Saccharomyces cerevisiae S288C: one gene and its partners. Changing the gene in region 1 together with any one later gene gives a genetic interaction. Each region holds a gene or a part of one and is shown on either strand. Other genes may lie near its edges. The genes, in order: ECM19, HSP32 and CRS1.

Region 1 (7,632 bases):
TGTCAAGATTTGGCAACTTTCCATCGAAGCCTTTTGCAACACGCACAGGAGAGAACGAAAATCTGTTCAGATTGGTTGATTCTGCAATAGTCGAAATATTAGGTAGATTACTATTTGCGTTTGGGTTCATTCCAGGAGGAGGAATGCTATTTCTATTAGGATTATTCAATGTCTCCATAAAGAGAGGCTGGTTTTTATTTACACGACCACTTGTAGAGGGAGTGACAGTTCCATTGTTATTTTTTGAAGAATTTCTCAAAGAAGAGTTTTTTTTCAACTTTTTAATAAAGGATTTGGCTTCGAATTCTTCTAAACTATTATCATCAACTGTCAGATCAACGGTTGGAGGGGGCTGGTAATGATTTTGATGGCTATTTCTTGTTGGTAGCACACCAACTGACATCGAAGAAACATTGTTATGATTCAAAACTGACTCTAATTCCTGTATTCTTTTCTTAAGAATCGCCATAGAATCCAACTCTATTTTGGCCTGATATAGCAGCTGCTGTTGTCTTGCACATTTTTCTCTCAACTTTAAACAATGATTTTGATAGTATTGACACTGTTTCGAAAGCCCATTCAGTTGGAATTGGGAAACATTATATAACGACTCCAAAAGTGGGGGCAGTGGCTCAAAAAAAATCCTAATGTCGGTAGGCAGCTGTTTAGATTCCACAAGGTTAATGATGGAGATATCGCTCGAACGGCATATAGGACACACCTTTGATGTTAATGGAGAATGCTGCGAACAGAGGATATGAGCACATGAGGTCAGCCTCAATGGATCTCCATGCGATGTTCTTCTGTGGCAAACACCACAGTAAACAAAGGGCTGTTCAAAAATAGAATCCGGCATTATATATTTCTTTGGTGATATCAATGATAAACGTCTTACCTGTTTCAAGCACTTTTGTTTTTTCTCTCTCATGCTCTTCGTGTTAGTTTGGGGAATGAACACGATCGCCAAATAGCCGCCCATCCCTTGTTGGCCGCCGCACAAAGCGTCAACTTCACAGACGTTTGGCAAACTTCCACAATGCTTCCTTTTCAGATGGAGTAGCCTCCCCGCAAGCTGCCCACCTAATTTTTAACTGCTGGTCCACAAGAAAGACGTATCCAGAAAAGACATTATTGCAAAAGAGCTCTTCCCTGACGGAAAATGGCCATTGGCCTCTAGAACATTCGAAATAAAATGGCTGGCGCCAGGATGGAACGCGATTGGCCCAACGAGCAAGCGTTTTCACTAGAGCACTTTTCACAGCGTTTTCTACAAGATTGACCTCGATGATTTGGACGTTACTGTCATTTAAACTTAAACGCGCATCAGCTTCAGTCAAGTAGTCAGTTTTTTTGTTATCGTCTACGATTCCTTGGAAGTATGAACTACTCAACTTATCGCCAGATGCTGTACTAAATAACCTCACTATACTGGTTTTACCCCTTAACATATCCTCGATATTCTGTTGTTTCGTACCATCCATTGCCGTTCCTATCAAATGAGGAAAAAACAAAGCTTTATCTTCTTTCCAATATGAAACTGGAGCTATAAACAATTTCCCCTTTGTCTTTTGGAAGACTTGCACGTCATAAAGTCCAGATTTGCTGAATTCAACGGCCAACTCTTTAACTCTGTGGTTTGTCTTTTCCGAATCAAACATATCCCTCAAAGAGTTCCCCTGGGAGTATTTGGTGCTTTTCCTTGGTGCTTGTGTTAAGCCTATTGGCTTGACCAGTTGTTTGATCTGGTATTCCTTTGGGGAAGCCGTTGCCATCATAGGCTTGAGGAATTTATCCAAGAAGGACATCCGCGTAAGCGTGGGATGGTAAAACCTTTTAAAAGTGCCCTGCATAGTTAGTTTAAGTTACTCTGATATCGCAAATAAACAAATAACCTGACTTTTACTATATGCTGAAATAGTCCTTTTTAAATATGCACTCTTCCATATTTTTCTGAAGGCGAATCAAATAAATGGTAATAAAAATTTAAATTTCAAAAACGATTTCTAGGCAAGGATATTGTGCGTAAGGAACAAAACAAACGTTTATAGTAGTTTTTATATAGCTGCATAGTGATGTGGCGAGAACTATTAAATATTTCTTACTTCGAAGTTTTATGTACATCGCCTCTGCCTTGCCTTTACACTTTTTAAATTCTTGATTCTGCTCTAGTACAATCTTCACCACTGTTACAAGATCAGGCGTCTCTTTACTAATACCAAGAAGAGGGTGAGATACATGATATTTTATTAAACTGATATTGCCTTGGGTCGGCTGTAATGCAATTAGTCAGGTGGAATCTAATATCACCTAGGGCCTTGGTGAAAATTCTCAGCAAAATGCGGGTTGAGGGTGAGAGAGGGTCCTGGGGAAGGTGCACGCCCTTTTCACAAGAGGTGCGTAAGAGAGAAACAAGCCTTCGACTCTACAGCCCTTCTAACACCGCCACTCAATCAATTAAAAGCAGTCGCACCCATCCAAAAGTAGAATTACATAAACTAGAGGAGAAAAAGCAGCCAGTACAAAGGAGAATTACTTCATTGACCAACGGATATTCTGTGAGTGTTTATATTTAAGATTCTGCTTTTGATTAGAGAAGGTTGAGAACCATACAGTTTGTCAAACCATGGCTCCAAAAATTTCAATATCCTTAAACCCACCGTACAACGGGGAGTTTTATAGCTCTAATGATCAAATGTCAGGGATAGTTAGTCTTCAGTTAACAAAAGCGCTATCTATAAGGAAAATTTCCGTCATTCTAAAAGGATTCTCAGAGACCTTAACAAAAATTGATCAAGAGTACATGTTTCAACAGAATGGCATGATGATGCCGGGCCAAGACAACAAATCCTTTCATACATTAATGAAATTCGAACAGAGAGTTTTCCCTCCAGATAATGTATGGAATGCTCTTGATGGCTCCTCCAAGCCGTTCAAAGTTAAACCAGGTTCATATAATTATAGCTTTCAATTTGACAAGTTTCCCAGAAAGCCTGAATGTCTGAAAAATCATACGGCAAAGACAGTAGCGTTTGTGACAAGAAGTAATGCCCGACTCCCACCTACGTTCAATAGTCATTGGCAAGAATTTAATAAAATCGATAATCTGGATTTGTATTTTTACTCTTTTGGAAAAGTTATATATATGGTGCAAGTTCAATTAGAGCTAGGGAAATCTTCATCTTGGTTTAAGCCATTCCATAAACTGATAAGGGAAATCGAGACGTTCGAATTTATACCTGAGCCAAAAGATCTTATTATAGAACCTGATGAAGATGACAATGAAGAACTTAATGCCTTCAGTAACAATAGTAGAGGAAATAGTATGGTCACCAACAATGAATTTTTCAATAGTTCAAATTTAAAGGTGCCATCAAAGGACGTCAAAGTCGTTAATGGAGTCGGATATATAAAAAGTGACAGGAACTTTTCTCAAGCTAATTCTATATTGATAGAAAACGGCGACATTAGATCGAGACCGGTATCATCAGTCACATCAACAAGACAATCTACTCGCCTAGTAAATGGTATGAAAGTTTTCCCATCTACTTATAAAATGGGGTTGCCTGATGGGGAAAGCAATATGAGAATAGAGGTTAGAAGTCGAGATTTGAAGCAAATATACAGGAAAGACTACTTGTTTAGGTCTGGCAGCCAAAATTTTGACAAGGTCTATGTAGTCATGGAGGGGAATATAGCAAGTTTGAGCAAAATGCAAATTACCCCACTTAAACTACAACTGAACTTGCTAGAGACTACAACATATTTATCTCAGGGAATAGCGAACGGCAATTACTCTTCTTTGAAGCTAATCGAGATTGATTTGAATCAGCTCAAATCCAATAAACCTCTTTTGGACTTAAACGAAATACGAGAAAATTTTGATGGTTCTATGTTTGAATGTGAATTACGGTTAAAGGATCACCCCATTTTAAGAAAGTTGGTATTTAATGAAGAAGACTATAGACATCGCGGCAATAGGTTGTATAGTTTCAAGACATGCACGATAAAAAGAACATTCAGTTTACAGCTACTGATAGAATGGGGAATCAATGGAATTAGGAAGCAATCTGAAGTAAACATTGATCCTGTTCAGATCTTTTGTCAAGTTAGAGAGCACGTTGAAGCTGAAGCTCTGCCCAGATATGTACCGCCACCGACATATACTGAAATGGCGAGTTAAGCGTCGCCAAAAATATTCTGCAAACATATATATTCATGCACATGTGTAACAATGTAAAAAACTTTGAAATGAAAAGAACAAGGAGCTGATCGAAAAAATATTTTTTTGATTTTCATTTAATATAGATTTATATACTTTTATTTGCTCTTTAAGAGAAAAGAAGTCGTAGTGAACTGGAACATAACGAAATAAAGAGGAGTTTTAAAATGTTTTTTGAAGAAATAAAATCATCCGCATCATATAAGAAGAGGAAATAAGAAATATAAAAGATAGATACCTTAACCCATTAGAAATAAAGTGATAGATAATTAGATTAACATAGCGGCAACAGCAGCAATGAAAACGGATTTTCCTGCCTCTAGAACATTACCAGAACCTTCAGAGAAAGTAGAAATAACGGCGGTAGAAGTTGGTAGAGCAGAGGAGACTGTTTCTTGGGACACGGTCGAAGAGGCAGCACTGGAAGAGTGAGCCTCGCTAGTGGAGGAAGCTTGCTTGCTCGAAGAGACATAAGTGGAAGAGGATTCTTCACTGGAAGGAGCCTTGGTGGAAGAAGAAGAGGAAGAAGAGGATTCGGTGGAAGAAGCCTTGCTAGAAGATGGGGCAGCGCTGCTGGAAGAAGCTTTAGTAGAGGAGGAAGCGCTACTGGAAGAAGCCTTGGTAGAGGAGGAAGCGCTACTGGAAGAAGCCTTGGTAGAAGAAGAGGCCTTGCTGGATGAAGAAGCGGATGAGGAGGCACTGCTGCTGGAATCGCCCAATGAAGCATTTTGTTCGGAACAAGAACTCTTGAAAGCAGAATAAGCAGCATCAGCGTCATTGTTTGGGCAGATGGAGTCTAGACATTTCTTGACGGCGGAGTTTTCGTGTTCACAGTAACAGGTGACTTGATTCAAAGAGTCACATGTGGAAGAGGATTTGCCGACTTGCGCAACACAGGCCAATAAACAAGCTGGAGGTGTTGCTAAGACTTCCTTCGACAACAATGCCAAAGAAACGACTGAAGATAATAAAGTGGTGGCACGCATGATAATATATAACGAGTGTTGAACGAGTGTAGTAGTGCTGTGAGCTTTGACCCTGTGTGTATTAACAACTGGCGAAATCTATTTATCATCCCTTTGTTTATAAGTTCGAGAGTGTTTATAAACGGTGAAAAATTCGTGAAAAATTAACGGAAAAATTGTAAAAAAGAAATAATGGGTCCTAATGCATGTGGTGCATGGGTCCAATGCTTCTATAAATAGTAATTTTCCGGGTAATAGGTTTTTGTAACGTTATAATGGCTTTACTATTGATGCTATATACAGGAAAAGAAAGTATAGAGGTATTTTCTAGTACGCTTCCTTACTGTTGTGGTGGAGTAGGAGGTGTAGGTGGTGTAGGTGGTGCAGCTGGTGTGGATGATAAAGACGGCGTGACCTTTAACAGATTTCCGTCCTCGTCGTATTCTGGGATGGGAATGTCCGTTCTCAAGTTTCCATCCTTACGCAATCTATCGATAACAATGGGCTCGAAAAATCTCGTGCCCGTGTAGACTCCCACAAGGCATGCGATACCTATAGTGACCATATCTAAAGTGTTCTTTCGCATATTGCACTGGACTTGACGTTTCTTGTGTTTGTTACTTTTGTCAGTTGAATGACTGAATAACACTACAATTGTTGTATTTTTCAGCCAATCCATTTCTTCATCGCGTTTCCCCTAGTTTATGCGGAAAAGATAGAAGAAGCGCACAGGCAAAATATGATGTAATACAATCAATTGTGGCCAAAAATACAAGAGAAGGGGATGACTGTAGCTGTATTGTCTCTATTCTTTTCAAGGGGTTGTTGATGTACCGTTGCTGAAGGGTTCGCTGTACTATTTAACACCCTTTGGGCTTTCTAGCTTATTGTTTAAGCAGCTTTTATTGGTGGCGTACATACTAAATTGTAAAGGCGCGCGCCGGTCTGTTAATGATGTTGAAATTTTCATTTCGAGGACTTCGCCCTTTTCTTCCTGAATGAATCAGAGAAAGTGAAATCAAATAGTAAGTCAGAACCAACCATTCGGAAGACCTCATTCTTGCTCATTTTGATATTGCTCTGTATGGGCGTATCTCTTTTAGCTTCTTCTTCTGCATTTGTAACTAAACCACTCCTCACTCAATTGGTTCACCTCTCACCTATCAGTCTCAATTTCACCGTAAGACGCTTCAAGCCATTCACGTGCTTATCACGCTATTACACAACAAATCCTTATAATATGACATCCAATTTTAAGACATTCAATCTGGACTTTTTAAAGCCGGATTTAGACGAAAGATCGTATCGGTTTATTGAGCTACCTAATAAGCTGAAGGCTCTGTTGATCCAGGACCCAAAAGCAGATAAAGCAGCAGCGTCGCTAGACGTCAATATTGGCGCCTTTGAAGATCCAAAGAACCTACCTGGATTGGCGCATTTCTGCGAGCATCTTTTATTCATGGGCTCTGAGAAATTTCCAGACGAAAACGAATACTCGAGCTATTTAAGCAAGCACGGTGGTTCATCCAATGCCTACACAGCATCGCAAAACACAAATTATTTTTTTGAGGTTAATCACCAACATTTATTTGGTGCGCTAGACAGGTTTTCAGGGTTTTTCTCTTGTCCTCTTTTCAACAAGGACTCTACTGATAAAGAGATCAACGCCGTTAACAGCGAAAACAAAAAGAACTTACAGAATGATATTTGGAGAATTTACCAATTAGACAAGTCTTTGACCAATACAAAACATCCATATCACAAATTTTCTACAGGAAACATCGAAACTTTGGGCACATTGCCAAAGGAAAATGGACTAAATGTTAGAGATGAACTGTTAAAATTCCATAAGAATTTTTACTCCGCTAACCTAATGAAGCTATGTATTCTTGGTAGAGAAGACCTTGATACTCTCTCTGATTGGACTTATGATCTCTTCAAGGATGTAGCCAATAACGGTCGTGAAGTACCCCTTTATGCGGAACCTATTATGCAGCCTGAGCATTTGCAAAAAATAATTCAAGTCCGTCCTGTGAAAGATTTGAAAAAACTAGAAATCTCTTTCACTGTCCCTGATATGGAGGAACATTGGGAGTCCAAGCCACCGAGGATATTAAGTCATTTAATCGGCCATGAAGGGTCCGGTTCATTACTAGCACATTTGAAAAAATTGGGCTGGGCCAATGAGCTATCTGCTGGTGGGCATACTGTGTCCAAAGGAAATGCTTTTTTTGCTGTCGATATAGATTTAACAGACAACGGGTTGACACACTATCGCGATGTTATTGTCTTGATCTTCCAGTATATTGAAATGTTGAAAAACTCACTACCTCAAAAATGGATATTCAATGAACTGCAAGATATCTCTAATGCTACCTTCAAGTTTAAGCAAGCTGGTAGCCCATCTTCCACAGTTTCATCATTGGCAAAATGCTTGGAAAAGGATTA
Region 2 (11,764 bases), on another chromosome or scaffold:
AGGATGTCTCATTCATCGCTTGATTTCCGGCCTGCAAAAATAAAGTAGTCGGTACGTACGTTCGTTTTCAATTTCCATGGTGCACAGTATCTTAACTATCTGCTTAGTCGAGGAGAACCAGGATTCTGTTCGTTGCTCAGCCGCTTCGTGGATATTCTCTTGGATACTTTAAATATGGACCTACGCTTAGCCTGCGCTTAGCCTACAACTTCTTCCGCTCTCGAAAAGACCAATATAATAGAAAGTTATAAATTACATTTCCTTATTAGGTATACGACCTCGCGCTTCGAAGTAGAGGAGCCCTTTTTGGCGTACCTACATATGGCGCGTCAGACAGACAAACTTCCCCCAAAAATGTATTACCCCGCCGAATAAGAAAACAGACCCATTCACCCACGACGTATCAAGTTACTTCCTTGGTGCAATGTCCCACTATAAAAAAATTCCTTGACGCTAGATCGTTGGACTAAAATCTGCGTCACAATCGCCTAAACAGGAAATATTGCCTATTTTCGTACAAGGTTACTTCCTAGATGCTATATGTCCCTACGGCCTTGTCTAACACCATCCAGCATGCAATACAGTGACATATATATGATGAACCTGTCTCTCAACTTACCCTCCATTACCCTACCTCTCCACTCGTTACCCTGTCTCACTCAACCATACCACTCCCAACCACCATCCATCTCTCTACTTACTACTACCATCCACCGCCCATCATAACCGTTACCCTCCAATTACCCATATCCAACTCCACCACCACTTACCCTACTATTACCCTACCATCCATCATCCGCTACTCACCATACTGTTGTTCTACCCACCATGTTGAAACGTTAACAAATGATCGTAAATAATACACATATACTTACCCTACCACCACATGCCGTATCCACCCTCACTTGTATACTGATATGGCATACGCACACGGATGCTACAGTATATATCATCTCAAGTTACCCTACTCTCACATTCCACTCCATGGCCCATCTCTCACTTCATCAGTACTAAATGCACTCACATCATTATTAACGGCACTTGCCTCAGCGGTCTATACCCTGTGCCATTTACGCATAACTCCCACGATTATCCACATTTTAATATCTATATCTCATTCGGCGGCCCCAAATATTGTATAACTGCTCTTAATACATACGTTATACCACTTTTACACCGTATACTAACCACTTAATTTATATACACTTATGTTAATATAACCAAAAAATCACCATCAAAATCACCTAAACATAAAAATATTCCATTCTTCAACAATAATACATAAACATATTGACTTGAAGTACGAGCACTACCATGACGTCATTAACGTAAAAGTTCCTTAATATTCCCATTTGCTTGAACGGATGCCACTTCAGAATATTTCGTACTTACACAGACTTCACATTAGAATATTATGTCATCCCATTGTTGTGACACTCTTTATTCACCGAGCAATAATACGGTAGTGGCTCACACACATGTGGGCGCTATCCCCTCAACTCTATTCCAGTTACAGTTACATAAAAAACTAACCTAACAAAGAAATAATAATATTTATGTCACAAAAATCAGGGTCTCTTGCTATGACTTGCTACTTGTTTTGCCCTGATCTGCAATCTTATTTTTAAAAGTGACGCATATTCTATAAACGACCCCGAGGCGACGCGCCAAAAAATGAAAAAAAGGAAGGACACATTTTTATAGAAAGACAAAAGGCTGCGAAGCCGCACATTTCCAAGTTCAGTATTGCTTATTGGACATACCCTATTAGCTTTATTACCATGCACCCTTTTCCAGAACAGTGACGCAAAAGAGAAGTTTCTATTTTGGGTTTATTGTATTGAGAAAATACTCCACAAACACTGTTATTGATCAAAAATGAGTTGTCATATTAATATACATTTACATATGAGAAATTGTATTTATATCAATAGAATAACATATTTTATTTCATTTTCTTTACTTTTTAATGTCTATGGAATTTCGTTCGTAAAAGCTTCTCTCTATTTTGGAATAGCAGTGTAGATACCGTCCTTAGATAGAGCACTGGAGATAGCCGGTCTCAATCTGGTAGAGTACCATGGGACACCAGTGATGACTCTGGTGACTTGTTCAGCTGGAATACCAGTCAACATGGTGGTGAAGTCACCATAGTTGAAAACAGCTTCAGCAATCTCAACTGGGTAGGTCTCTGTTGGATGAGCTGCTTGAAACAAGTAGTATTGAGCCAAATGAGCTCTGATATCGGAGACGTAAACACCCAATTCGACCAAGTTGACTCTTTCGTCAGATGGAGATAGAGTGGTAGTGGCTGGAGCAGCGGCAACACCGGCAGCGATAGCGGCAACACCAGCAGCGATTGAAGTTAATTTGACCATTGTATTTGTTTTGTTTGTTAGTGCTGATATAAGCTTAACAGGAAAGAAATGAATAAAGACATATTCTCGAAGGCATATAGTTGAAGTATCTCTATTTATACCTATTCCTTCATTGGTCATCACCACTTAAACGATTCGTTAACAGATGCTCCTTTAGCACTTCACATATTCTCCATATCTCATCTTTCCCACAACTTCATGATCACTATGAAGATGTTTTTGTTTTTAAACGAGGCATGCATCTTTATAGATTCTGTATGCGAAGGTATTGTTTTCTGGGGCCTTTGTCTATTCGTATGCGCCGAATGTGAGAATGCCAGTTATAGGGGTGCCGAGGTGCCTTATAAAACCCTTTTCCGTGCCTGTGATACTTCCTTTTTTGGTATAGCAGAATGTCTGAATTTAGTTGCTATAGATCCTCGTTCAGAAGCGTATTGCTAAGCCTATCTCCAGTATACCCTAAACGATCGCCGAGAAAAAATAATACTGTACCCTCCTATTTCCCGGAATTGTACAGAATAGTAGGTATGTGCTGGGAGTCGTATATTGTTAGAGTCTGTAATTTTTACGCGCGCCTAGTGGATTCGTTGATACGATTACGTTATTCTAAACCGTCGCAAAGCAAATTGTGTTGAAGTAATTCAAGACTTTAAATCACTTGTACCAAAATCATTGTTGCGAAAACTTATCCTCAGTATTAGTTTCTTGACCGTAACAGTAGTTGAAAAAAATAAAATCATTTCTATGATCGATACACTTTCATTATTTAACTTCTCTATTATGGTGTAACTTCTTACTTTTGTCAGAAAAAAAGATTTCAAGACACAACAAGAATGGGGTCAAAGGTCTGCTTGTACTATCAGGAAGATTTGATACCAACCGCGTTATAAGGGTTACTAGAAAGTAATAGCTGCTAAAAAATTTAAACCGAAGAGATTAATCAGAAAGCTGAAAAACTGCAGTGTTAGTAGAGTTGTAAGCATTTCTTGATTGGAACAGCCTTCCCCCACACGTCCACCCTTGTTCAGACAGATTCGTAATGATTTTGTGTGTAGGCAATGGAAAACTTTAAAAACGGTTTGATTTCCTACAAGATAAAACATATGAATAAAATAACTTGTGTCAAATGCCCCATTTCCATACTGTAACCCAAATCAACGAAATAAAAAATAAAACCTCATATGATTTACTTTATTTAGTCATAAAAAAACAAAAAAAAAAAAAAAAAAAAAGGAAACAAGACAATCCTTTATAGTTTGTTTCCATCATGAAACCTATGACCAGCATATATACAATCGTCCCCCAGTTCCTCTTCGATACGCAAAAGTTCATTATACTTGGCCAGTCTTTCTGATCTCGACAAAGCGCCCGATTTAATTTGACCACATCTTAAACCAACGACCAAATCAGCGATAAACGGATCTTCGGTTTCACCTGATCTATGCGATATCATTACACCCCATCCAGCATCGAAAGCCTGATTGGCGGCTTCAATAGACTCAGTCAGAGTACCGATCTGGTTGAGTTTCAGCAACAGAGTATTCGCACATTTCTCCTCTATAGCACGGGCGATCCTGGTCTTGTTGGTGCATGTCAGGTCATCTGCAATAATCTGAACATTGACAGTCTTTAGGAAGGCAGACCACGAGGACCAATCATCTTCGGCGTAGGGATCTTCCAGGGAAATGATTGGGTATTTCTTTAGCAATGAATGGTAATATTCTGCTAACTGGGCTGGACTGAGCCAGTGAGATGGGTCAGAGTTCGGTTCCTTGAAATTTAGGTCGTATTTCCCGTCCTTATAAAAAACAGAAGGAGCACTATCGATTCCTACTTTCACTCTACCCTCGTAACCGCATATGTTAATGGCTTCCACAATCATGTCCAAGGCGTCTTCGGCAGTGTCAATATCGGGGGCAACTCCACCCTCGTCACCAACATTTCCAGCGGAAGGTCCATATTGCTCCTTCGCCAATATCTTCAAATGATGGTAAACTTCCGAACCCATCCTCATGGCTTCTGCAAAGCTCTGAGCCCCGACTGGCGCGATCTTGAATTCTTGCATAGCTAAAGAGCCACCGGCGTGGGCTCCACCATTCAAAACATTGAAAAAAGGAACAGGAATAACAAAGGGGTCCTGTCTAGCATCCGCTAACTCGGCTATATACTTGTAGAGAGTAATTCCCTTTTGTGCGGCAGCAGCTCGAGCAACGCACAAGGAAACACCAAGGATAGCATTGGCGCCCAACCTTGACTTGTTAGAAGTTCCGTCTAACGATATCATGAGCTCGTCTATGCCCTTCTGATTGGTTACACATAATTCGGACTTGATTAAAGCAGGCCCTATGATACTATTGACGTTACTGACTGCCTTGGTCACCCCTTTTCCCATCCATTCGGACTTGTTCCCGTCTCTAAGTTCAACAGCTTCGTGAATGCCGGTGGAGGCACCAGATGGGACGATCGCTCTGAAGAGACCATTCTCTGTTGTAATTTCAACCTCAACAGTCGGATTGCCGCGAGAATCATACACCGTTCTAGCATGTACCTTCGTGATGGACATATTTTTATCGTTGAGATTCGATTTTTTCCTCACCTTGTTTTGGTATTTCTATTGCAAGACAAAGTGAAAGAAGAAGAAGTGGTGGTAAAAAATAACTATATATAATGAAAATTGTAACCTGGTGGGAGTGCAAACTGTAAGTGATAACCTGCCAGATCCATGTTTCTATTATATACCTAAGAACCAGCCAAGTTAGGTAAACGAGGAGTCTTTCAATATCTCTTTTCTAGTGAGAATGTTATTTAGGTAAATGAACAAGTTACCACTATACTACTCACCCCCTACACTTTGTTTGTGACCTCTCCCCTTATCCAGTTCATCGAAACTTTTTTTTCAACTTGTGGCGATCTGTGACATTGTCTACTACAAGAACCGATTTTGGTTGATGTCTGTAAAAAAAACAACCTTACCTTTCCAGATCCAACTTTCCAGGAGAGCTGCGTGAGTTTCAAATATTTACCATGTCGGAGAAAGCTCCCAAGTACTTCCTTGTTCTTGTCATTTTTTCCTTATCTCCATCCTTTAAGGAAGGTATTTCCATTATGCGATTCTATAAATCCGAGCATGCGAGTATTTCTTTTCTTGGCGCGGAGTCGCTGATGACGCAATAGGCACATTCACGAACATCCAGGACTGGTAATCTTCTCGTCTTAAAGAAAATCCAACCACCAGTAAGAAACTCTTGGGTAAAATGGGGTATCTGAAATATTGCATAGCTGCAAATGAAGATATTCAGTATCAGCATAGGTATTTTCATGAAGGATAGGTAAAAAGAAAGAAAAGAAAAATATCTTTTTGACTGTTGTTCTTGCAATTATCACAATTAGGGGACTTTAAAACCGATACTTGATATATGAGCACAGTCAAGGGGCCGGTTCTTGAGATTTTAATGGAAAAGAGGAAAGTTGCACATACAGGTCTGCTTTTCTTTGCTTGCTCCAGACAACGATACTTAGAACTAAAACATATTTCTAGAACACTTTTCTCCTTCATTCAAAAAGAAAACTGGCCTTGCAATGACTCCAAAAAGAGCGCTAATATCTCTTACTTCATACCACGGTCCCTTCTATAAAGATGGTGCGAAAACAGGCGTTTTTGTAGTTGAGATTTTGCGGTCGTTCGATACTTTCGAAAAGCATGGTTTCGAAGTGGACTTCGTTTCTGAGACTGGTGGATTTGGCTGGGATGAACATTACTTGCCAAAGAGCTTTATTGGTGGCGAAGATAAGATGAACTTTGAAACGAAAAATTCCGCCTTCAATAAGGCGTTAGCGAGGATCAAGACCGCAAATGAAGTCAACGCCAGCGACTATAAAATATTCTTTGCATCTGCTGGACATGGTGCTCTATTTGACTATCCCAAAGCTAAAAATCTGCAAGATATTGCATCCAAGATATATGCCAATGGGGGTGTGATCGCTGCCATCTGTCATGGACCGCTCCTTTTCGATGGATTAATAGATATCAAAACAACAAGACCATTAATCGAAGGCAAAGCTATAACAGGTTTCCCACTCGAGGGTGAAATCGCCCTGGGAGTTGACGACATCTTGAGGAGCAGAAAATTGACAACGGTTGAACGCGTTGCAAACAAGAATGGAGCCAAGTACTTGGCGCCAATCCATCCCTGGGATGACTACTCTATTACAGATGGAAAGCTAGTTACGGGTGTTAACGCAAATTCTTCCTATTCGACCACAATTAGAGCTATAAACGCATTATATAGCTGAAACAAAAGACAAGGGAATTGTTGAAGGGGAGGCTTCTAATGGCTTTCAGTTTCTGTGAAGAGAAGGCTAACAGCTCAATGGTTCGAAAGGTAAAGAAAACGGCAGGTCGGTAGCACTCGATTTTGCTAGAATGGAAATCATATAGAGAACAATTGAATAGTAGGCCTTGGTTTTTAGTGTTGTACTCATCATGGTCATATGTGACATAGGTAATGTACATATATATATAAAAAAAAAAAAAGCAATGCTGTGAGATCATTCGTTACTTACGAAATACGCAGATTGCAATTTGAAATAAGCTGTGTTTTCTTTTTTTTCCTTTTTTTTTCTTTTTTTTGGCTTGTTATATACAACTTTTTTCTATTTCTGTTCTTTTTAGAAGTAATTAATTGGTACATAGGAAATAAATATGAATTATATTAAATGAAGTAAAAGTAAAAGAAAACGGGGAAATTTATCGTTTTGTAGTAAATAGATGATGGAACGCATTCATAAAATCTCACAAAATATTACAATAAACCGCAGTAGTCGGTAAAAATGTATTATACAACGTCTAAAATCTTGAAAATGAATTAAAAAAAAAAAAAGGTGGGATGATTGTGCAGGAAAAGGTATGAAGAAAAGATCCTAACAAATCGGGTTAGTCAATCCTCTAGTCCAAGCATAGGATCCGAGAGTTATCACCAATAAGCAATATGAAATTCCAATCGAAACAGTATAATAAATAAGCATGTTAATAAATGATAGCTTATACCCTTCATTGATAAACGTGCTAATGGTACTCAAAGTGCCGCAAAATCCGGATATTAACGCAGAAACAATATGGCATGAATTCAACGAGTTCACAATTGGAATATCCGTGGAAAAGTGTTTTTTACCACGTTGCACCATGGTAAATATGCCAATCAATAAAGTGGCGAAAACGTTTGCCAAGAAAGTACCCAATGGAAACTTTTTGTTTGTTTTATTAAACATTTCTGCCAACCAATATCTTAGGAAACCAGCGAAAATTCCAAATAGACATGGTAGTGTCCACTTGCCCCTCGAATAGTTCTCATAATACGCACACAGCACCACAAACAAAATAATTAATGGAAAAGCTAGTGCGTACGCGAGTTTATCCACAACATCAAAAAATTTCTTAAAAAATGGTGCTGGAGTTTTGAATTTAAACTCTAGAATATTTTTTTCCATTTCTTGTGTATCAACATCACCAGCATTTTCCTTTACAGTGTCTGAGGGAGGGGTATATGGCTTCGAAAACGAACTAGATCCATAAGCAACAATAACCTCCTTACCAAGTTGCCTACCGAAAATAAGACTACCCATGGAAACCATAAGATGAACGAGCAAGACAGATAAAAACTCCATTATACCGTAAGCTCTGTTCGGCAGTTTTGTGTGGTTAGCGATATTACCGTTAGTTAAGTTTGTAGAGTGTTCGAACATCTCTAGCAGCATACTAGAAAAGGAAGACAGGGCACCACAGTACCCAGTAGTTACACCTAAAAACAAGACTTGGTGATCTTTCATCCAAGTGTAAGCATTTAAAGATTGCATAATCCCCATTAGCATGCAGGATGAACAATTAGACCAGAGAACGGTCGGAGCAGTAACGAAGGCCGGAGTGTAGGTGGAAAGCGCCGTTATAGCCTGACGTGTTTCAGTACCTAATATGCAGAACGTGGTGAATGTACAAAAAACATGAATATAATGGCTCAACTTGTGATTTGATATGACCGGATTGAAAATCATCAGAGCATTACACGCTCGATTAAATAATTAAATAACTGCAGATTCTTGAGCCACCAGACGCTAAATAATAATGGCGGCAATAAATATAATCCTTTAGTACTTATTTCAGTTGTTTTTTGTTTTATTTTTTCCGTATCTCTTCCGTATCTCTTCCATCATTGCGTCAAAAGTGATTTACACTGCTACATGAATCGCGCCACTTTATGTCAGTGAATCTTTCATACATCGCAACTCCTCACTGACAGTGACTCTAGCAGAGTCACCATCTTTTCGATATACCCATCAAAGTGCACGATTCTCCTCCCCTGTTAGACAATCGTAACGTAATATCGACATGTATTCGTAGCACCGCTGCCAAATAATTTTCAGATCGTTCATTGTACATGAACCAAGCGCTGTTGCTTTACTTTATGATATTGCTGCTGAGCTCCCTTGTCTTTCATACGACGTTTTATCTTGATTTCATATCTTTTTTTTTTGGTAAAATAGAAAATACTCAACAGATATCTGATATGTATATAAACACTAAATAAAGAAAATCTTAAATCTTGCTGGCATGACTGTCGCTGTGTCTCAAATCTCTTAGTAATTCATAGATGTGTATCACCCCAAATCTCAAAAACTTCATAATTATTATTGGATTATCTAGAAATCATACCCTTCATACTGTCCCACAATGGCCTGCTCACATGAGGCGCTAATGATTACGATTAACCATCAAATCATTTATATTGATACACTGTAGTTTACTGTTAATAACCAACCTTTGTCGAGATTCATCAAAGTGGGTTCCAAATCCCTCATTGTGGGAACCTGGTTCAGTCATACCCATTGGAGATGGGCCCCAGGAAGGAGTGTAACAAACTTCATCCCAATTGCATTGCCTCTCACAACGGTAATTTAGTTCAATCCACCCTAGAGATTCAATTAAACCATCGATAGTGGAGCGAGCCGTTTCGACATTCTTTATTAAGTCGCTGGAAGTTGTGTTATCTGTCATAAAAGAGTAGACTTCGGGTATCAATAAATCATTCACTTTATAAATGACATCAACAATTTCTCCGACAACGCTGACAGCAGATGACCAAATCAAAAAGTCTGCATCCGTTTTTAAGGCCTGGTATGGGCTCACATATTGGTAGACAAAAGTTCAATGTGAGTGCTGTTGCATTGATGGCAATTGACTCATTAATATCACCATCGCTGTTCAGTATGTTACTAACAGATTTTAGTAATGGAGCAAATTTAAGGACAAGCTCATCAAATGCTAACTGCCAATCCATACTTTGCGTGGCATCAAATCCGACTTCCAGCGCCTTTTCTAAGTCATCTACCATGTCCAATTGCTTTTCCCATGTCATTCCTTCATCGAGTAATCTTCTGTTGTTAGGATCAGGAGCAATGTACGTCCTGTTTATCCCGCTCACTAGGTACCTATAGTCGATATGGATTCGATGCTCCCCGTTGTCATGCGCTGCACCCGCTCTCAACTGATTGAAGCTTTTAACTGCGTTGAAATTAGAAAAAGCCTTCTCCCAACCATCTTCTCTTTCCAGAATCGCCTTTTGGTCATCTGTTAGCTGATCTTCAACTAGGCTTCCATTTTCATCCAGAGGCCAACCTTCTTCCTTCGATATTACGGTAGGTGCTGGTAAGCCTAGGTACTGGTTAGGCTGGACCATTTCTAACATTGAAACAAGTTCGACGTTATCAGCCGAAAAATCACACAAAACGACCTCAAAGCCAACCTCTACCCTGATAATTCCGTCAAGCCCGAATGGCTTCCCCCATTTGCATATTCTAGCAGCGTAGAGTCGTTCGGCCATTCGTTCGTTTTCACCATCATCTGTAAGGTTCAATTTCTCTTTAATAACATTTGACAACATTAGCTGCGTGTCCATCTCTCCTGAGTCAGTTTTCGCAGCAGAAGCCCCATCAAGATAGAGAAATTTGTTGAGGTCCCGTGCTGCTCTATAAGTAAGCATTTTTTGTGAACCCCGACCTTTTTCGTCTGGTGGTGGTGGTGGTGGTGGTGGCCCTTTTGGATGATCACCGTTGGTGCCATTGCCGAACCTCCCATGCCTTCTTTCCAAAGATTTTCTCCCATAGGATGGTGACCTCAAGCCGAAAGAGTAGCTGAATTCATGGTCCATAGCTAGCCATTCGAAGGTAGTTGGCACTTTTGATCCGGCATGGTACATTAAAGTTCCTTTGGGAATTACAGCGGGAAAATAAGATACTCCGACAGGATGTATATCCGATGGAGACTGTCTTAAAGCAGCCCGAATGGAATTAAAGATAGCCGTACTGTTATCAAAATCAATGTCTCTGACGAACTCATGGTAATTATCCCATCGTATAGAAGGTAAGTCTGTGCTTTTAATTGCAGATTGATTGTGTGGTAGGGCAGTTGATACTATGCCGTAAGATCCAGATAACTTCCAACAGAAACCAAGCAGTACAATGAGTAGTACGCCTATGATGGCTGAGATACCTTGACGATGGAATCGCATTCTCTATCTAAACAGTGGTCAATGGATTCTTCGAGAGCTAAGACCATAGATTTCTTAAAAGAATTTTTTTTTTTTTTTCTGTCCTCCTAATATCTTTTATCTTTAATACTGTAGGGGCGCAAGTTTCTTTTTTTTTTTTTTTTTATGTTGCGTTTAGTTTTTCTCTTGGCAAAAGTTTTTCGCACCCCGATCTTTTTTTGCATACGTAGTTCACTGCCGCTGCTTACGGCAGCGTTTCACTTTGTTTGGAGAACGGTTGTTAACTTGTATTTGATATGGTGTCGAGACAATGTCATTGCAAGTTATATAAACATTGTAATACATCACCTCGATGAAAGAGAAACTGGAATGATAGATCTCTTTTTCTCAAAATTTCGTTAATATGTAATAATAAGGTTCCTGATGTAATTTGTTTTTGTACAAATTATTTTAGATTCTGGAGGTTCAAATAAAATATATATTACAGCCAACGATTAGGGGGGACAAGACTTGATTACACATTTTTCGTTGGTAACTTGACTCTTTTATGAAAAGAAAACATTAAGTTGAAGGTGCACGCTTGAGGCGCTCCTTTTTCATGGTGCTTAGCAGCAGATGAAAGTGTCAGAAGTTACCTATTTTGTCACCATTTGAGAATAAGCTTGAAAGAAAGTTGTAACCCCAACTTTTCTATCTTGCACTTGTTTGGACCAACAGCCAAACGGCTTATCCCTTTTCTTTTCCCTTATAATCGGGAATTTCCTTACTAGGAAGGCACCGATACTATAACTCCGAATGAAAAAGACATGCCAGTAATAAAAATAATTGATGTTATGCGGAATATAC
Region 3 (6,536 bases), on another chromosome or scaffold:
GAAGAACTCCAGACTCAACAAAAAAAAGAGCAATGTCGCAACGAGGGAAACCGTTGTCCAAGCCCGCTCCGGACCTAGACTACTAAACTTTCCTTTTCTTAGAGCTTGGTTCCTCGTCGGATAGTGGCAAGTCCACCTCACCGAGACTGCCATCGTCATCCTCGCTGTCGCCATCTGCGCTTAACCCGGATTCTCCTTCTTCGTCTTCCAAGTCCCTCTGGGCCTCAGCATAGTACTTCACACAAAAAGGGTAGATCTCTTCACTGAACAATGACGCCAATGAGTCGCCGTGCGGGAACTCCTTCCCGGGTTTTAGGCCGGTCCATCTGAACCAGCCAAATATGGTTTTCATTCCCTGTCTGTACTTTTTTTTACCCTCTGGACTGCGTTTGTCTTTGATCAAGTCCGGGTTTATCGAGTCGTAACTCTGGGGCCACTCAATTGGAACGGGCTCACTAGTCAGTATCCCGTCTTCTTGGTCATCTTTGCCTTTTTTGATTTGGAACACCTTGGTGACTTGCTGCTCTTTGAAGTCTCCCTCAATTCCATGGAAATGGAATGTTATACTAAAATCTCTAGTGTCGTACATTTCAGACTCCAATGCCAGCCATTCTACTTTGATCTTATCTATAGTGTCAATGTATTTAAAATCTGAAGCCCTTATGTAATTCGCAAAACTAACGTGTTGTGAAAGCACAATTTTCCAGAACTCTGCAATTTCGTCAATATACGCGTCCCTCTTTTCATAAACAGGCTTCATTTTGTTCAATCTGTATAATTCTACCTCACGTTCAATAGCGTCCACTTCTTCTTCGCATTTAGCCAATCCTAAGAATGCTTTTGCACTGACCATCTACCGCACTTGCTAAGTGCATATTGTTAGTATAATGGGTTGCTTTATTTTTCCATTTCATGCCCTGCAGAGCTCAATCCTACATACTGCTCGTTCTCGTTTTCTTGGTCACTCATCATTGGCAGTGTTATGCTTCGAAATGTTTGTCGTCAACATCAAGCGCCTAATCATTAGGATGCTTTTCTTCCCTTTTCTCACAAGCGCAGTGTTTGATTTTTTCAATTTTTTCCGCCTGGAATTTTTTCACATTCCAAAATGAAAAGTACATATATAATACAATTAATTATATTAGTTTTTTCTTTCCTCCTTTCCTTTTTCACTATTTTAACGTAAAAAAAGATGGTATATACATATATACGTACTTTTGAATAGTTGCACACATAACGAAGCCACGAGTATTCTATTTGTCTTCACCAAAGTACTCTTCATGTAGCTTCTTTTGTTGTTCCCATTGCTTCTTCAACTTCTTGGTCATACTCTTGGTGATATCATTACCGTCTTTGTCCTTTGTTGGAAGGCCTTGCTCGTCCCAAGCACTGTACAATGTGACATCCTTGAACATATCTTGTGGTTTAATTTGAGCTTTCTGCTTCCTCTCGTTTTCCTTCTGCTCTCTTAATTTCTGCTGTTCCAATTTCTTTTGTTTCTTTGCTAGTTCGTTGGCATGTTTCTCCTCGTTTAGCTTGACAATTTCCAATTTTTCATCGTTAGTCAAAAATTTGATCAAGGCAGATTGTCCATTCCTATCATCCAAGGCAACATTCAAGTTTAGCAAATCTTCGTTTCTAATTTTATCCGTTAATTGCAAGAATTCCTTGGGTTCGGCTTTCTTGATAGCTAAGGAACGTACATCATCTCTAAATGTGGATAAACACTTAACATATGGCATAACAGTGTCTTCCAATGAGCCTAGGGATCCATCGTTGGAGCCAGCTTGGGCTGCCCAACCCAAATTGTCAGGACGGGATGGAAATCCAATTATTCTTAAGATTTTGGTGATGTAGCTACAGATAGCAATCAAGGGCTCAATTTTTAAAGCAGCACCTGCAGTGGTAATGTATGTGTTTGACTTGGTCACTAATTCGCTCAGTGTCTTCAAAGCAACAGGTGTGGATAAATTATCACAGAACGCCGAATGGACTTTCGATTCACTTTCAACAAAATCAGCCAATAATTCTTTCTCTAAGGGACTAAACTTTTTAGAGATATGACCTGCAGAAGCTGCATCGTTCTTCAATGCTCTAATAGTCTTAAAAAAATTGTTCATGGAGTTTTCAAATGACTTTACTTCATGGATCAAAGATTCCTTGAAATCCAATTGATTGTTCCATTGTACTGAGGCAAAAGCCAATCTTAATTGGCGCGGTGAGAATTTTTTCAAAGCTTCTTGAATGGTAATGAAATTCTTTAAGGATTTAGACATTTTTTGACCCTCAATATGTAAATGGCCCGTATGTAAGAAATAGTTGATCCACTGTTGATTGTCGAAGCGAGCCTCGGATTGAGCCAATTCGTTATCATGGTGAGGAAAGGCCAAATCGATGCCACCTGAATGAATATCGATGTTAGAGCCTAGGATATCACTGGCCATCACAGAACATTCAATATGCCATCCTGGTCTACCCTTACCCCATGGTGATTCCCACTCAGGTTCACCTGCCTTGGAAGCCTTCCATAAAGCAAAATCATTATTCGACTTTTTTCCGTTATCAGCAAAGTTGCTTAAGGACCCTTCACCATCATTAATTAAGTCTAACTGGCCCTTATTCCATGGCTGGCATTTAGCATAGTCATGATTTGGGGATTTGTCAAATTTTAAAGTATCAAAGTACACGGAACCGTCGGAAGTGGCATATGCGTAACCATTATCAATAATTTTTTGAACAAAGTCAATAATTTCTGGAACGTACTCAGAAACACGAGTTGTAACGGTGGGAGGTAGCACGTTTAATGATAACATGTCATCATTGAATTTCTGTTCCCAGTAAGCTGGAAGTTGGCGGAAAATCTCTGGATTGCTAATGGTAGAGCCCAATTCTTTATCCAATAGAGGAACCGTAACGTCCTTGACTTTTTCAAAGGCAACTTCTGCGTCCATGGAATCGCCCTTAGTGATTGATTCAATAGCATTTTGAACTGCGGTGACATGCATAGGGAATTTAGGATTCTCCAATTTTAAAGTTTCAGTATCAGCATTCGATAACCAAGTTTCAAATTCTTCGATAGTTTTGATCTCGCTGCCTTGAATAGTAAAATTTTTGTTGATATATTGGAAAAGTGCGGTTTTGACCTTGTCAACAACAGTGGCGTTGAATTTGGTATCATTTTCTTTGACAAAATTGTCAAATAAATAGTTTTGTCTAGCTCTCAAAATAATTTTATCGTCGATATCAGTAACATTTTGCACAAATTGCACGTCGTAACCAAAATAATCTTGAATAATTCTTCTATTGATATCAATAGAGACATAGTTTCTGGCATGACCCATATGGGAGGCATCGTAAACAGTAGGACCGCAAGAGTACCAAGTGACACCTCTATTGCCAGATTGCGGAATGAATTCAACCTTAGATCTTGTTAAACTGTTGTACAACTTCAACACAGTTTCTTTAGCTTGTGGCGTTGGAACCTTCCATTTGGGCTGCACAATCTTCGGCGTAGACATTATAGTATATCTTCTCAGGGCTTTTATGAAGATATTCATGCATAGAATAAGAACTTGACCGGACACCTAATCACCGACGCCAATTAGCAATACTGTTCTTTTCAATTGATAATGTCTTTTGACTCTTCGCGATGAAAAATGTTTGCGGTCACCCGCGCTGAAAATTTTTTATTGCGATGAGCTGAAATTTTCCATCTCATTTTTAATAGTAAGTATTCTTGCATGAACACTAATGATATTAGGAGGGCTTTTTAAGTTGCTACCACTATTGCAGTCGTTATCAACCTTTTGCACTTTATCTAGTAATGTCCGTGAAAAGGTCTGTTTCTGAAATCGAAATTGAAAGTGTTCAAGATCAACCCTCTGTTGCCGTGGGAAGTTTCTTCAAGGGCTTCCGTGCTCCCAGTGACACTACGTTCGACTTATACAAAAAAAAGAAGTCTGAAAAGGACGAATTCGTATTACACGGTGAAAACGAGAGACTAGAATACGAAGGTTATACTGATTCTTCTTCCCAAGCTTCGAACCAGTATGTTGTGGGCCTATTTAATCCAGAAAAGAAAAGTATTCAACTCTACAAGGCTCCCGTACTTGTTTCCAAAGTTGTATCCAAGTCAAGCAAGAATCTAAGGGGTCCAAAAATAAAAAGTAAGAGTGATACTCGTCCATCTGCTTTGAGAAATGCGTTGGGTGAAGCGTTTGGTACTAAAAAGGCTAAAAAAGCTATTGCAGATCTAGAAAGAAACCGTATTGACTCTGATAAGTTGACTGATTCTGCTATTGACATTGTGGATTCCGTGAGAACTGCATCTAAGGATTTACCAACTCGGGCTCAATTGGATGAAATTACTTCCAACGATAGACCTACTCCATTAGCCAATATCGATGCCACTGATGTAGAACAAATTTACCCAATTGAAAGTATAATACCAAAGAAGGAATTACAGTTTATTCGCGTTTCATCAATTCTGAAAGAAGCGGATAAGGAAAAGAAGTTGGAATTGTTCCCATACCAAAACAATTCCAAGTATGTGGCAAAGAAATTGGACTCTTTGACACAACCTTCACAAATGACCAAATTACAGCTACTATACTACTTATCACTATTACTGGGCGTATACGAAAATAGACGCGTGAATAACAAGACGAAGTTGTTAGAAAGGTTGAACAGTCCTCCTGAAATCTTGGTAGATGGTATCTTAAGCAGATTTACCGTGATAAAGCCTGGACAGTTTGGAAGATCAAAGGATCGCTCCTATTTCATTGACCCACAAAATGAAGATAAAATCTTATGCTACATCTTGGCAATCATAATGCATTTGGATAACTTCATTGTTGAAATCACACCCTTAGCACACGAATTGAACTTGAAACCTTCCAAAGTTGTCAGTTTGTTCAGGGTACTTGGTGCTATTGTCAAAGGTGCCACAGTGGCTCAAGCTGAGGCTTTTGGCATTCCAAAAAGTACTGCAGCTTCTTATAAAATTGCCACTATGAAAGTTCCATTTAAGCTACCTGAAATGACAAGAAGAGGAAGAGGTCCAAGACGTTAGAGTTACCTAGAGGTATATACTGAGCATTTGGTTTGCTCTGGTTTTTTTTTTTGCTAGATGGTTCTATAAAGCAGCAAAATATAAGACGGTCCTCCTGATGAGAGGAAGAGAAAAACAAAAATAACTACATAGATATACGCTATTTTTTCTGAGAAGATACATATGTACAAATAGATATTTTACAATAATTTTAAACTTCGCAATAAATTCAATATTAATTCATAGCGTAGTTCGGCTTTCTAGCACCTTAGTAAGCTGAAATTTAAAAATGTATCAGTTTATTTTTTTCAATAAAGGTAACTTTAAATGAGAAACCAACGTGTTATATAGGTGAAATCATGAATAGCAGTCTGCAAGTTGGCATCGGAATTGATGTAGGTTCATCAAGTGCTAGAATAGGTGTATATAATTACTACAATGATGCGCTGTTAGAAATGGCGCAGGAACCAGTCCCATACTACCAGGATTCTTCAAAGAAGTCATGGAAATTCTGGCAAAAATCAACTGAAATAATTAAAGCCCTTCAAAAGTGTCTTCAGAAACTGAACATTAGAGAATATGAGGTAAAGTCATGTGGTGTTTCTGCAACGTGTTCATTAGCTATTTTCGAAAGGGATCGCACAAGTAACATGCTGATACCGTATCCAAATGAAGATAATGTCATATTTTGGATGGACTCTTCTGCCGTAAACGAATGTCAATGGCTAAATATGCAATGTCCACAACAGCTTTTGGATTATTTGGGAGGAAAATTTGTACCCGAAATGGGCGTCCCCAAATTGAAGTACTTTTTAGATGAATACTCTCATTTACGAGACAAACATTTTCATATCTTTGATCTTCATCAATACATTGCTTATGAACTGAGCCGCTTGTATGAATGGAACATTGAAGGACTTTTGGGAAGAGAAAATCTTAATGGTATAGGCAATGATGGAGAGGTATCTGGCTGGTCATCTTCATTTTACAAAAACATTATAAATTTACCATCTAATGTAAGCATTGGAACCACTAGTCTTGTTGCCAATAAGCACATTTCGACAACTGTAGTTCGCAGTTGTATTGACAGTTATGCAAGTTGGTTCGCAGTTGCTTCTCCTCATTTGGAAACATCATTGTTTATGATAGCCGGGACTTCTAGCTGCTACATGTATGGTACTACCATCTCTGATACTAGAATTCCTGGAGTATGGGGACCTTTTGATACTATACTTGACAACAGGGGTGATTTTTCTGTTTATGCTGCGGGCCAGTCGTGTACTGGTAAATTAATTGAACATTTATTTGAGAGTCATCCATGTGCCAGGAAAATTCTGAAAGATGGTGCTGATATCTATCAAGTACTCGAACAAACCATTCGTGACATTGAGAAGAACAATGGTCTCTCAATTCATATTCTTACGAAAGATATGTTTTTCTACGGTGATTACGAGGGAAATAGGACTCCTTTTGCAGATCCACGGAT

Evidence for each region.
Region 2: mutations in ECM19 (region 1) and HSP32 together harm fitness more than expected from each alone (negative genetic interaction), as found in Saccharomyces cerevisiae (one large-scale study listed by BioGRID).
Region 3: mutations in ECM19 (region 1) and CRS1 together harm fitness more than expected from each alone (negative genetic interaction), as found in Saccharomyces cerevisiae (one large-scale study listed by BioGRID).

The regions. Positions count from the first base shown.
Region 1 is NC_001144.5:901,297-908,928, reverse strand, and holds ECM19 (Ecm19p), read right to left. Parts: upstream 5,864-7,632; coding exon 5,525-5,863; downstream 1-5,524. Other genes in the region: SUMO ligase CST9, read right to left, coding at 1-979; ATP10 (Atp10p), read right to left, coding at 1,011-1,850; ART10 (Art10p), read left to right, coding at 2,624-4,180; CCW14 (Ccw14p), read right to left, coding at 4,489-5,205; STE23 (metalloendopeptidase), read left to right, coding at 6,269-7,632. UniProt on the Saccharomyces cerevisiae protein: May be involved in cell wall organization and biogenesis.
Region 2 is NC_001148.4:5,930-17,693, forward strand, and holds HSP32 (glutathione-independent methylglyoxalase family protein), read left to right. Parts: upstream 1-5,957; coding exon 5,958-6,671; downstream 6,672-11,764. Other genes in the region: YRF1-7 (Y' element ATP-dependent helicase protein 1 copy 7), read right to left, coding at 60-78; seripauperin PAU22, read right to left, coding at 2,004-2,498; phosphopyruvate hydratase ERR2, read right to left, coding at 3,628-4,941; FEX2 (fluoride transporter), read right to left, coding at 7,299-8,426; YPL278C (uncharacterized protein), read right to left, coding at 9,124-9,426; YPL277C (uncharacterized protein), read right to left, coding at 9,476-10,939. UniProt on the Saccharomyces cerevisiae protein: Catalyzes the conversion of methylglyoxal (MG) to D-lactate in a single glutathione (GSH)-independent step. May play a role in detoxifying endogenously produced glyoxals. Involved in protection against reactive oxygen species (ROS).
Region 3 is NC_001146.8:179,896-186,431, reverse strand, and holds CRS1 (cysteine--tRNA ligase), read right to left. Parts: upstream 3,558-6,536; coding exon 1,254-3,557; downstream 1-1,253. Other genes in the region: U2-type spliceosomal complex subunit CWC25, read left to right, coding at 1-86; VPS75 (Vps75p), read right to left, coding at 83-845, 941-972; DNA-directed RNA polymerase I subunit RPA49, read left to right, coding at 3,824-5,071; MPA43 (Mpa43p), read left to right, coding at 5,410-6,536.